Linked DNA regions of Cricetulus griseus. Each later gene encodes a partner of the first gene's protein in a complex. Links are inferred from orthologs where the notes say so. Each region holds a gene or a part of one and is shown on either strand. Other genes may lie near its edges. The genes, in order: Pold1, Pold2 and Pold4.

Region 1 (3,644 bases):
AAATGGGCACAGTCCTTTCCTATTCCTGTCCCAGCTGGTACTGGCCAAGATCTTCACACTTGGGACAGAGGACCCTGGAGCTTGCTAACAGGTGCCAGCAAATCCATCCTGGCTGTGTCGTCCCCCCCCCCCACTGCCCTGCCCCGCTTCCCTTCACAGGAAGGTGGAAGAGGCGAACAGAGGAGTAGCTGCTGGAATTGGAGTGTCCCACCAGTGACCCAGCATCCTGAGCGCCCACCTCATGTGACCCATTGGCAGAGCCCTAGAAGCCACTTGTGCTGTAAGCACTACCTGAGGCCAGAGTCTGTCCCGCTACACCATGAGCAAGGAGTACCAAGGAGAGGGACTCTGGTCCCCGACGACCCTGTATGTCAGAGTGCAGAGGCTGGCCTGATAGTTGGGATGCCTGCCATACCAGGACACCCTCTGACAGAACTGACCTCGAAATGCAGGCCAGCAGTAACCCAGCCACTCATTAGCATCCCAAAGGCTTACCTGAGAGATCTCCAAACATGGCAGCTTGCCCACCTGGGCACCAGTGAAGCCATACACAGAGTTGGCACTCACTTTCAGTGCTAGCTGCCGTCCATCCAAGACCTGCCGCCGCAAGGGGTCTGTCTCCTGAGCCAGCTCAGCCTTGGCCCTAGGTGGAGGCAGGATGGAAGCTGTTCAAGGGGACCATGGGTCTCAGGGAGGCACCTAGGCACAGACACTGGTCAGGGTGCCAAACATAGCTGAGTGTGCTCAGAATGTAGGCCCAGAAGGCAAAGGGGTGCTGTCCGGAAAGGAGCCTCATTTAATGTAGACACAGCTACAGATAGAAGACCTGGACTAGGTCACGACAGGGGAATCTAAGCACTAAGCAGGGCAGGGCTCCAGAGCCCACCTCTTCCGGGCACTCAGCAGATTCTCCAGGATCTGGGGCAGGAGGCCCTTCCGCACAGATGACTTCACAAACTCATCTCCAGTGGGTGTCTTGATGAACTCATCTGGTTTAAGGCTGGGGAAGGCAGAGGTACAAGAGACTGGGCTTTGGGCCTCCCTGGCTCTCCCCAGCTTCGCCCAGGCCCTGCTTCAGCCTCCCTCAGGTCAGCCTCTCCATTAGCCCCCCCACACACACACAGCCTGTCAAGTCCGTAACTCCCATGTCTCCTTTCCCTGGACCATCACTTCTTGGCCTGATCTATCAAAATGTAAAACAGGGCTTAGGATGGTTTGGGGAACATCCTGGATGAAGGCAGCATACCCCAACTTCTGGGCAGCCCCGGGCCGTAGCAGTGTGGTGTAGCACAGATTATGGGCCATCATGATGGATGGGTACAGAGAGGAGAAATCCAGGGTGGCAATGGGGACGTCATAGTACCTAAAGAAGGGTTGGAGAAGTAAACCCCCATCCTGCCCCTACCCTTGGCCCTTACCTTTAAATTTTTTTTTTTTAGATACAGGATCTTAAGTAGGTCAGGCAGGCCTTGAACTCCCCCTGAGTGCTGAGATGACACATGTGCCCCACCGTGCCCAGCAGGGTCCTCACCCTTTAAGGGGCTCAATGACAGTGGCTCCCGTGTAGTCCTCACCGCCCTCAGTCTTCACCACAGGCATCAGGAGCCCCTGGCGCATGGCCTGGAGAAGGGGTGGGGTGAGTGTCCAGGTACCAGGAAGGGTGTGTGCATGTATGTATGGTGGATGTGGCCAACGAGGTTCAGCCACCCACCTGGCGCAGCAGCTGAGACACGACCTTGACCTGTTGGCCCCGGCTGAGCAGGTATCCAAGGGGCACACCCGTGACACGCGCCATTTCTACATTGTTCACCAGCACCATAAGGCGCTCAAGCAGCCGAAGTGGCAGGAAGGCGTCCTTCAGGCAGTACACGGCCAGGCGGCGGCGTGTCTGCTCATTCCCGTTCTGAGGACAGGCATGTGAGGTCAGGGGCTCGGGCAGGGGGGAGGCAGGCGGGGGGGCAGGGGGAGAGGCAGGCGGGGGGGGGGAGGCAGGGGGAGGCAGGGGGGAGGCAGGGGGGAGGCAGGCGGGGGGCAGGGGGAGCAGGCAGGGAGGCGGGGGGCAGGGGAGGAGGCGGGGGGGCAGGGGGAGGCAGGCGGGGGGCAGGGGGGAGGCAGGCAGGCAGGCGGGGGGCAGGCGGGGGCAGGGGGAGGGCAGGGGCGGGGCAGGGGGAGGCAGGGGGGAGGCAGGGGGGGGCAGGCGGGGGGCAGGGGGGCAGGCGGGGCAGGGGGGCAGGCGGGGGGGGCAGGGGGGAGGCAGGCGGGGGCAGGGGGAGGCAGGCGGGGGGCAGGGGGAGGCAGGCGGGGGCAGGGGGGAGGCCGGGGGCAGGGGGGGCAGGGGAGGCAGGCGGGGGGCAGGGGGGAGGCAGGCGGGGGGGGCAGGCGGGGTTGGGAGGTCTTGGTGGATGGTAGCACCTGCAGGTCGGTGATGATGCTGTGCTGCACGTCCTCCTTCTGCTCACCCAGGAAGTGGAAGCTGACAGCATTCAGGGTGTAGGAGCGCAGCTTGTGCTCCCGCAGCAGCACCTGGGCAGGTTGGGACGGGGCAGGTTGGGACGGGGCAAGGACCTCAGGGGCACAAGGCACAGCCTCAAAGGTGTAGGAGGGGACCTGGAGGCTGTGGCACTCGGGGAGGTGCGGCAGGGTGGAGCCTCTTGAGGCAGAGTGTCAGGTGGGTGGGTCCCCCGCATACCTGCAGCATGTCCATCTGAACTCGACCCACCATGCTGACCACCTTACTGTCCCGCCGGCCCACCTGCCTCGACTGGAAGGAGGAGTCTCGGATGTTGGAGCGGAGACCAGTCACACGGCCCAGGAAAGGGAAGCGGTCCACCTGGAGAGGGCCAGGGGACAGCCAGTCAGCTCTGAACTAGGCCACATGGACAGGGACTAGCCATGGCATTCTTGGGGCCACTGAGGGCAGAGACTGCTTGAGAGGGATAAAGGAGACCAGGGACAAGGTTGAGAGCTATAGCCCTGGGAAGACTGAGAGACTGGTGACAGGTAGACACAAGGACTGTGCCTGGGGAGGGAGCAGAAGGAAGCCCCGGTGGGAAGGTTCTGAAAACCAGCAGGGGTGCCTTCAGAAGTTGGAATACAGACTGGCAGAGAGAGGGAGTCAGGGGAGGTGGAGCTGAGCGAGAGTCACCCAGGACATGAGGGCTAGTGTCTCCATGCAGCTGGGTAGGAAGGTCTGCTTTGCCTATTCACTACCAAACTGCTACAGATGCAGAGAGCAGGAAAATGGTACAGCATATCGTATTTGGGGCTGAAATGAACCCCCAGAAGATGCCTTGTATATCACCCACGACCCACTTGCAACAGAACTGGCCCTTGAAGAAGGATCAGACCAAACTGTGGTAAGGCCCAAACAGATGAGCGCCAGGGAGTCTCCACTTGGAGCCAGGCTCAGGAGGGCCTGCCCTGGAGCTCACAAAACACCAGCATCCCACACCTCCGCTGCCTCTCGTGTGCAGCTGGTAACAGTGGCTGGCACGAACAAAGCCCACATGTCCTTTCAACAGCACCCAGCCTTTGCCACCCACCAAAACAAACACCCATTTCCTTCTTCCAAGCCTCCACTCCCCCTCATGTCTCGCCAGTGAATTCTAAAGCAAGGCCTGGCCACAATGGCAGTGATGATGACC
Region 2 (4,124 bases), on another chromosome or scaffold:
TGCCAAATATCTACAGAGGCAGGGAAGGCCATGTGAAGTCAAGGAAGAGACCGGAGTGCTACAGACACAATCCCAGGGACTCCCAGAGCCACCAGAAACTGGAAGGATCTACTCTAAAGCCTCTAGAAGGCACCAGTCCTGCTGAAAACCCAATTTCAGACTTTAAGCCTTTAGAACAATGGGAGAATAAATATATGTTGTCCTAAGTCCCCTGTTTACAACACTTCATTACCATGGCCACAAGAAGCAACTGTGAAACACATTACCTACGTCTCAGTCACATGCTACATCCCGACAATTACCATGTCCTAAGACTTCAGATTCTTTTGTTTTTTTCAAGATGGTGTCTCACTACATAGCCCTGGCTGTCCTCAAACTCACTCTGTAGACCAAGCTGGCCTCAAACTCAGAGACCCCCCACCTGCTTCTGCTTGCCAAGTGCTGGGATTAAAGGTGTGCACCACTGTATCCAACTAAGACCTTGGATTCTTATGTGTCAGCCCCTGCTCCACCCAATGCTTCATCCTCTGAAAATATACCTTACATTTCCCACTTGATGTCCCCTCCACCTCGGTCCATTTTATTCCCTGTGGAGTCAGCAGCCTTGCTCATTCAAAGCCCCCAGGAGGCAAACCAAAACGCAAGTGAAGGTCCCTTATGCTCAGCAGGAAAGATGTGGAAAGCCAAGCTGGGTAGGAAGAAGGAATGCAAGTTCCAGAAAGTTCCAGGGATTCATCAGCACAGACCCAACCCTAGAACAAATTGCTGAGGAGGCAGGGTGAAGTGGAGGCTCGGCCAGAACCACACTCATGCCCCGGAACAGCCAAGAACATTCCTCAGAGCTCCACCCGGAGGAGCGGATTCCACAGAAGGAAGGCAACTCTAGCACCACACAGAAGTACCTGTGGCTCTGCTATGGCTTGGGTGTGGTCCATCCCTCAAAGACCAAGGCTTTTGGTGCCCAGCCTGCCATGGCCTGCTCTCTAGCTAGCTAGAGTGGGCGAAGGGTGCCTAACTTGCACTGAGGACAGGAAATAGCGGCTACCACTGCCAGAACTCAGTCCTTACCTCAGACCAGCCTCTGAGCCAAACCTAACTTTAACCCCACAGGTTAATTTAACCCTCATTATTATTAACTTAAGAAGCAACAGAGAGCTAACAACACTAAGTTTCCACAGTAACTGGAAAGTGTTAACAGGTTAGAAGCAGCTTACCCCAGTGCTGCTGGGCCCGGCTCTCCAGGAAGGGTCTCATCTGGATGAGGCGGGTGGCATAAATATGAGCATACTGTCTGCTAAAGCTGCGCTCTCCCAGTCGAAAAGGCTGTGAGGAGTTGGTATAAGTTGCCACAGGCACCCGGGCAAAGGTGGCATTGCTGGCTGATGGTGGGGAGAGCAGAGTGTGGGCCCTCTGTGCTGCCTGCTCTGAGAACATGGCAGCGTTCCTGGCTTGTTCTGTCCACGCCGCTGTGTCCAGGCTAAGGAGCATCACTGTAAAGACACACAAAGTCACCCCTGCAACTCCTACTTGAACCCGAAGCAGGAGCTCCCCTGGTGTCTCAACCAAGCTGCCCACACTGCATCTGATGGGCACCGAGATATGTCTGGAGACAGCACCCTGTAGCCTTAGTCAGATAAAACCTGGAGCTTGAGCCAAACCCTGTTCATCTCCTCCATATTTCTACCCAGTTACCAGGGTCTCAAATTCGGCATACCCACAACAGAATTATTGATCTGCCTTCATTCACTTCCTTGGAAACTACCTTACTTCTGGGAATGCTGCCAAGCATCGTCAAAGAAGCTTACCACAGTATAATCTGGCTTACACTTCCACAGCACAGTCCATTACAGAGGGAGGTCAGGACAGAAACTCAAACAGAACAGGAACCTGGAGTCAGGAGCTGATGCAGAAGCCATGGAGAGGTGCTGTTTACTAACTTGCTCCTCATGGCTTACTCAGCATTTTTTTTTTAATTTTGATTTTATATGCATTGGTGCTTTGTCTGCATGCATGTCTGTCCGAGGGTGTCAGATCCCCTGGAACTGGAACTACAGGCAGGTGTGAGCAGCCATGAGAATGCTAGGAATTGAACCTGGATCGCTGGAAGAGCAGCCAGTGCTCTTAACTTCTGAGTGCTCACCAACCATAAGACAATTAGTGATAAAAATAAAACGTAAAGCTGCCCCTGCTCTGCTCAAGACTCTCCAATGGCTGCTATTTTAGTAAACAAAGCCTCAAGTTCTTAACACTACCTGTAAGATTTGTTCCTCCCCTCCCACCTGTTTCTCCTTCCAAGTGTCCTTTCCACAGCAGGGGCTCCAGCAGAGGCCTGTCTACTCTCTGTTGGCTCTTCTCCTGTGCCCCACAGGTTCACTGGATCTTCCCCTTCAAGTCTTTCCTTAAAACTCACTTCCCCACACCTAATTTACTACATCTGCCACTCCAATTGTTTGCATCTCTCAAGCATTTACTTTGCCTCCTCCAAATGCACTCAAAGTTCCAGGGAGGCCGGTTTTTGTTATCTTCAAGGAGGTATTGCACAATTGTCCCACAACGAGTCCAATTAAGATGTGCTCCGGGGATGCACGGAGGATTTCAGTAAATAATAACGGCTGGTTAAACATTTTTCATGCGTAGGTTAAACGACAACAGTCTGGATGTAGTAAGTTTAGAACACAGCCTTCTTTTCATTTTACTTTTTTGGTACAGCTAATACAAAGTTCAAATTCTTCTTGCTGGCTCTGCTTTCTTTAATGTGCAGCTCTGGCGTAGGAAGCGAACTCAACGAATTTGCCAAAAGGGCGCGTGTGAATTCAATGTAAGCCGAACACGCAGTGGTGGGCAGCGGCCCACACGGTGCCCGCAGCCAGACGCGACGGACGACCCGCCCCGCAGCAGGCGCCCCCAGCTCGGGCCTACGCAGCAGTCCGAAGCACCATCGAGACCCCAGCCCGTGGCCCCGGGAGCCCCCAGCCTGGCCCAGCACCCACATTAACCCCTCTCAGCAGCACACTCACCGCGCCGCGCCGCATCCCGCCAATCTCCGCGCGCCCATCCCGCCCATCACCGCATCCGGCCAATCGCCGCCCGCCCCGCCCCGCCCATCGCCGCACGCCTCGTCCGGCCAATCCTCATGTGCCCCGCCTCTGGAGGCCGAGGGACCGCGAAGCCACGCCTCCGGTTGCCCTGACAACGTGCCCCCCCCCGTAGATTTCCTGCGCATGCGAGTGTTTGCGGCTAGGTTACACAGTGTGAGCACGTTGGGTGTCATGGGCCGTTTTGAGCCTCTCAATCCGGGTCATGTCACACTTCCCTGGCTCTGGTGACCTGGTGGCTCCTGGGTGGATGAAGCTTTCCTCCAACTCTCTGTCCAACGCTGTGATACTCGCTCCAGCTTCAGAAGGCCTGTCCTAACAAAGCAGCTCATAGTAATCTGTGCAAGATAGCCACTATTCTGAATTCTCCGGTCTCATTGCACCCACTTCTCAGATTCCCTTTGAAGCATGAGCTAGTCTCCCATCTCACAGGCAGGGAAACCAAGGCAAAGAACAATCACCCAGCGGAATCTGGGATTCACACTAATACACCCTGGTTCTGTTTTTGGTTTTTAGTGGCTTTTAAAAAAAATTAATTGTGTCAATGCATGTGTGTCTGTGTATGGGTATATGCACGTGGCCTCAGAGGAGTACAAAAAGAGTGTGGGATCCCTTGGAGCTGGAGTTACAGGTGCTGTGAGCTACTCAACGGTGGGTGCTGGAGCCCAGCGCCAGCATTCTGAAAGAGTGGTTAGTGCTCTTGACTGAGCCCCTCCCCAGCCTCTTGTTTCTGCTTTAATAATGATTTTAATAATTTGTTTTTTTTAATATTTCACTTTGTCAAATAGTGTTTCCTATGTAGGTTGGGGTGAGTGTGGGGTGTTGGCCTGCTGGTGCAGGTTGTCTGTGGCATTTTTAAATACTATGTTGAAACATTTTTTTTTTTTTTTTGGTTTTTTGAGACAGGGTTTTTCTGTAGCTATGGGGGCTGTCCTAGAACTCACTCAGTAGACCAGGTTGGCCTCGAACTCACAGAGATTTGCCTGTCTCTGCCTCCCACGTGCTGGGATTAAAGGTGTGCACCACCAA
Region 3 (3,531 bases), on another chromosome or scaffold:
TCTGCTTTCCTGTACAGGTCTGACAACTGGATGCCCCTCTACCCTGCAAGCTTGGGATCTTCTGGAGCACAAGGAAGGCTAGTTACACAGTATCTGTTACTAAGAGCCCTGATCACAATTTACCTACACCCACTTGCAAAACTCTTTTGATGTCTATTTTGAATAAGGTTGTGGGAACTGCTTAGTACAGCTCTAGGCACATGGTAAGCCCAATATAAGGGAAAGGTTTATTGATGTTATTTTCTGTTATATACACATTTCTAAGAAACAGAGCATATCTGTCAGTTAAGAACTGGAGATCTAAGCTGGGCATTGGTGGCACACGCCTTTAATCCCAGCACTTGGGAGGCAAAGGCAGGTGGATCTCTGTGAGTTCGAGACCAACCTGGTCTACAACAGCTAGTTCCAGGACAACCTCCAAAGCAATACAGAGAAACCCTGTCTCGAAAAAAAAAAAAAAAAGAACTGGAGATCTATGCCAGGCAGTGGTGGCACACACCTTTAATCCCAGCACTCAGGAGGCAGAGGCAGAGGCAGGCAAATCTCTGTAAGGCAATTTCTGTGAGTTTGAGGCTAGCCTGGTCTACAAAGTGAGCTCCAGGACAGCCAGGGCTACACAGAGAAACCTTGCCTCAAAAACCAAAAGGGGGCAGCGGGGGAGAACTGGGGATCTGAACCCATAGGGAGTGGGGACTAGACTTCTGGCATCCTGCTTGGAATGGAATCTTCCTGACTAGCAAAGTGGACAGAGGCAGGCTGTCGGGCCTGACAGTGGACACAGCAACCGCATGCCTGGGCTGGGTGGACAGTGTCTCTGCCAGCGGACTGTGAGAAAGGAGCCTTCGGAGCCCATGGGCTTCTCCAGCCAGGTCTCTTGGGGCCGGTAGGAGCAGGGAAAAGGCCAGGATTAGTTCAAACTCTCTTTGGACCTAAAGATCTGATCCCACAACGCTCTGGGGCCAACCGGCAGGAGTAAAAGGTTCCAGCCGGGCTCAGGGGACTTACAAACTGGCCACGGGGATTAGTGAGGCTGAAAAGAACATTTGCCTAGGAAGGAAAAACGGGAAGTGAGAGGCTGAGGATAACTCTCTATATGTCCCTAGGGACCCAAGTGGACCAATGAGGGACCGGAGGAGGTGGTGAAGTCTGGGGCATCTTGACAGGTCCTTGGTTCCGCCTAAACCCTCCTCACTCGGACGCAGCAGCAGCTGCCCCACCCCCTGCCCTCTGACGACTGCCATTGGCTAAAATTAGGGTCCCGCCCCACAAAGGCCGCTTGCCATTTGCTTAGGCTCTGATGTTTGCGTGCTTGTGGGGGCGGAAGACAGGCGTCATTCTCTGGAACCTAGGGACTTCCTCTCTCTGCTTGTCTGGGTCAACTTGTCTGTCCATCGCTGGCCCATCTCTCTCTGGCCCTCTCTCACACTCTCAGCAGCTGTCTTTCACAGGCCCACTGCCCTGCCTTTTCTTTCCCGCTATTGCCTCCTGCTCCGCCTGCCTGGGTGGCCGCCATGGGCCGGAAGCGGTTCATCACTGACTCCTACCCTGTTGTGAAGAAGAGGGAGGGGCCCCCTGGGCACAGCAAGAGGGAGCTGGCACCAGAGCTAGGTCTCTGAAATGTGGGGGTGGCAGAAAGAGTGGGTATGCAAGTATGCAAGGACCAGAAAGGGGAGGGGGGAGAGGAGAGAGAGAGAGAGAGAGAGAGAGAGAGAGAGAGAGAGAGAGAGAGAGAGAGAGAGAGAGAGAGAGAGAGAGAGAGAGAGAGAAGCTAGTATGTCTCATACTTCTGATGAGCTGTCTGGCTGCTGGATGGCAAAGGCAAATGAGTGAAGATACAGCCAGTGGCACAGCTGTGTCCAGGGTAGGGCAAAGGCCTGGATGGGCCTGAGGAGCTGCATGTTATTGCAGGAGAAGACACCCAGTCCCTCAGCCAGGAGGAAGCACAGCTGGAGCTGCTGAGGCAGTTTGACCTGGCCTGGCAGTATGGGCCTTGCACAGGTGAGAACCCCACCTCCAGCCCACCAGGCACATCTCTGAACCAGTTCTGTCATCGATGTGTTTCAGAAATAATCCAAGTGCCTGCCTAACACTGTCTCCTGAGACTGGCATGTGTGGAGGCCTCTAGCCTGGACTCTTCTGCCCTGCTGAGTCTTCTTTCCACCCTGGCAGGTATCACACGGATGCAGCGCTGGCATCGGGCAGAGCAGATGGGCTTGAAGCCCCCTCTAGAGGTGCACCAGGTGCTGAAGACACACTCTGAAGACCCCCGCTTCCAATTCAGGTCAGGACAGCTTTCAGGGAACCAGGCCCTTCTCTAGGAGTTGCCACTCTCTGGTCTGCATAGGGGCTTCCTTGACTTGGAGAAATGGGCACAGACTTAAGGGGTCCTTCCTGACAAGTAAGAAGGGTCTTCTAGGTGCCTGGCTCAAGACAGACCCCTTTAATGATCCTTACCTCTAAGAGCTAATGGTGGTGCAAGAGTATATACAGGGCCCATGGGGCTATCTGAGTACTGGGGGTTCATCAAAGCCACAGAAGCACACACAATAGTTAAGAACTGCTGAAGATCCATCAAGGAATAGAACTGACTCTGCTCTGCACTCCTCCTCCTCCCCTGTCTCCCACAGCCTCTGGCATCTCTACCCACTCTGAGGTTCCACCCGGGTTGTTCTTCCCTTGACACCTCCTAGCCACCAAGAACTTCTGGACAGAATCCATGGCCAGTAGATGCTGCTCTGCTCATCTCAGCTCTGGAGAAACAGTTAGCAGGCTGACTGTGGAGGTCATCCTGATTCAGCCTCTTACCTGTCCAAGCAACAGGCTCCTGATGCTCCTGAGACCACACCTCCGGGGCCTAATCATGACCACCAGATGCTTGCCATACCCTCTCTGATGTAGTAAATCCAGCACAGCCTGACTCAAAGCCAGATGTCAGAAGAATCAAAGAGTTCACTAACGCTTACAATAAAGTACATTAAGCCTGAAATCCTGACCTTTAGTCCCTTAATATGACTCTGCTCTAGCTGGCAGTTCCCAAAAGGTAAGTAGGCAGGAGAGCCAGCTATAGGCTTTTGTGTTGTCTGTCCCCCCCCCCCCCGCCGCAAAGACATGGTTTCTCTGTGTAGCCCTGGCTGTCCTGGAACTCTCTGTGTAGACCAGGCTAGCCTTGAACTCAGAGATCTGCCTGCCCCTGCCTCCTGAGTGCTGGGATTAAAGGCTGTGTCACTATACCACCTGGCTTCCCTATCTGTCTTTCTAAGGCAGTCTTCTCATGAGCTGAGCAGCCTCTGGTGTCCCCTGGTGGTACTTAGAAAAGCACTCTGAGTCTCCTTCCCTGACCAGCCAGCAAAAAGCCTGTCTGAGGTGCCCAGCTTGTAAGCAACTATTATGTTCTGACACCATAGGTCTCCGTGGGTGTTACTACCACTGAAATATAGCAAAACAAACATGGAAATCAGTTATGTCATATGGTGTTCAGCATTAAGTAAAATTAGGGTGAGAGGTCTGTAGAGGGTCAGAGAATGCCCAGGT

What was found.
Region 2: Pold1 (region 1) and Pold2 share a complex: the UniProt entries of both Homo sapiens proteins name them as parts of the tetrameric DNA polymerase delta complex. The link is inferred for Cricetulus griseus from reciprocal best matches to the Homo sapiens genes POLD1 and POLD2.
Region 3: Pold1 (region 1) and Pold4 share a complex: the UniProt entries of both Homo sapiens proteins name them as parts of the tetrameric DNA polymerase delta complex. The link is inferred for Cricetulus griseus from reciprocal best matches to the Homo sapiens genes POLD1 and POLD4.

The regions. Positions count from the first base shown.
Region 1 is NC_048599.1:153,410,800-153,414,443, forward strand, and holds part of Pold1 (DNA polymerase delta catalytic subunit), read right to left. Parts: intron 2,831-3,644; coding exon 2,690-2,830; intron 2,524-2,689; coding exon 2,413-2,523; intron 1,904-2,412; coding exon 1,712-1,903; intron 1,621-1,711; coding exon 1,532-1,620; intron 1,364-1,531; coding exon 1,247-1,363; intron 1,001-1,246; coding exon 887-1,000; intron 644-886; coding exon 496-643; intron 1-495. UniProt on the Homo sapiens protein: As the catalytic component of the trimeric (Pol-delta3 complex) and tetrameric DNA polymerase delta complexes (Pol-delta4 complex), plays a crucial role in high fidelity genome replication, including in lagging strand synthesis, and repair.
Region 2 is NW_023276807.1:98,956,787-98,960,910, reverse strand, and holds the start of Pold2 (DNA polymerase delta subunit 2), read right to left. Parts: upstream 2,891-4,124; 5' UTR 2,473-2,890; coding exon 2,472-2,472; intron 2,431-2,471; exon of another isoform or gene 2,280-2,430; intron 1,867-2,279; exon of another isoform or gene 1,806-1,866; intron 1,491-1,805; coding exon 1,215-1,490; intron 1-1,214. UniProt on the Homo sapiens protein: Accessory component of both the DNA polymerase delta complex and the DNA polymerase zeta complex.
Region 3 is NC_048596.1:55,018,265-55,021,795, reverse strand, and holds Pold4 (DNA polymerase delta subunit 4), read left to right. Parts: upstream 1-1,305; 5' UTR 1,306-1,511; coding exon 1,512-1,608; intron 1,609-1,908; coding exon 1,909-1,998; intron 1,999-2,169; coding exon 2,170-2,281; intron 2,282-2,627; coding exon of another isoform or gene 2,628-2,652; exon of another isoform or gene 2,653-2,690; coding exon 2,691-2,727; 3' UTR 2,728-2,992; downstream 2,993-3,531. UniProt on the Homo sapiens protein: As a component of the tetrameric DNA polymerase delta complex (Pol-delta4), plays a role in high fidelity genome replication and repair.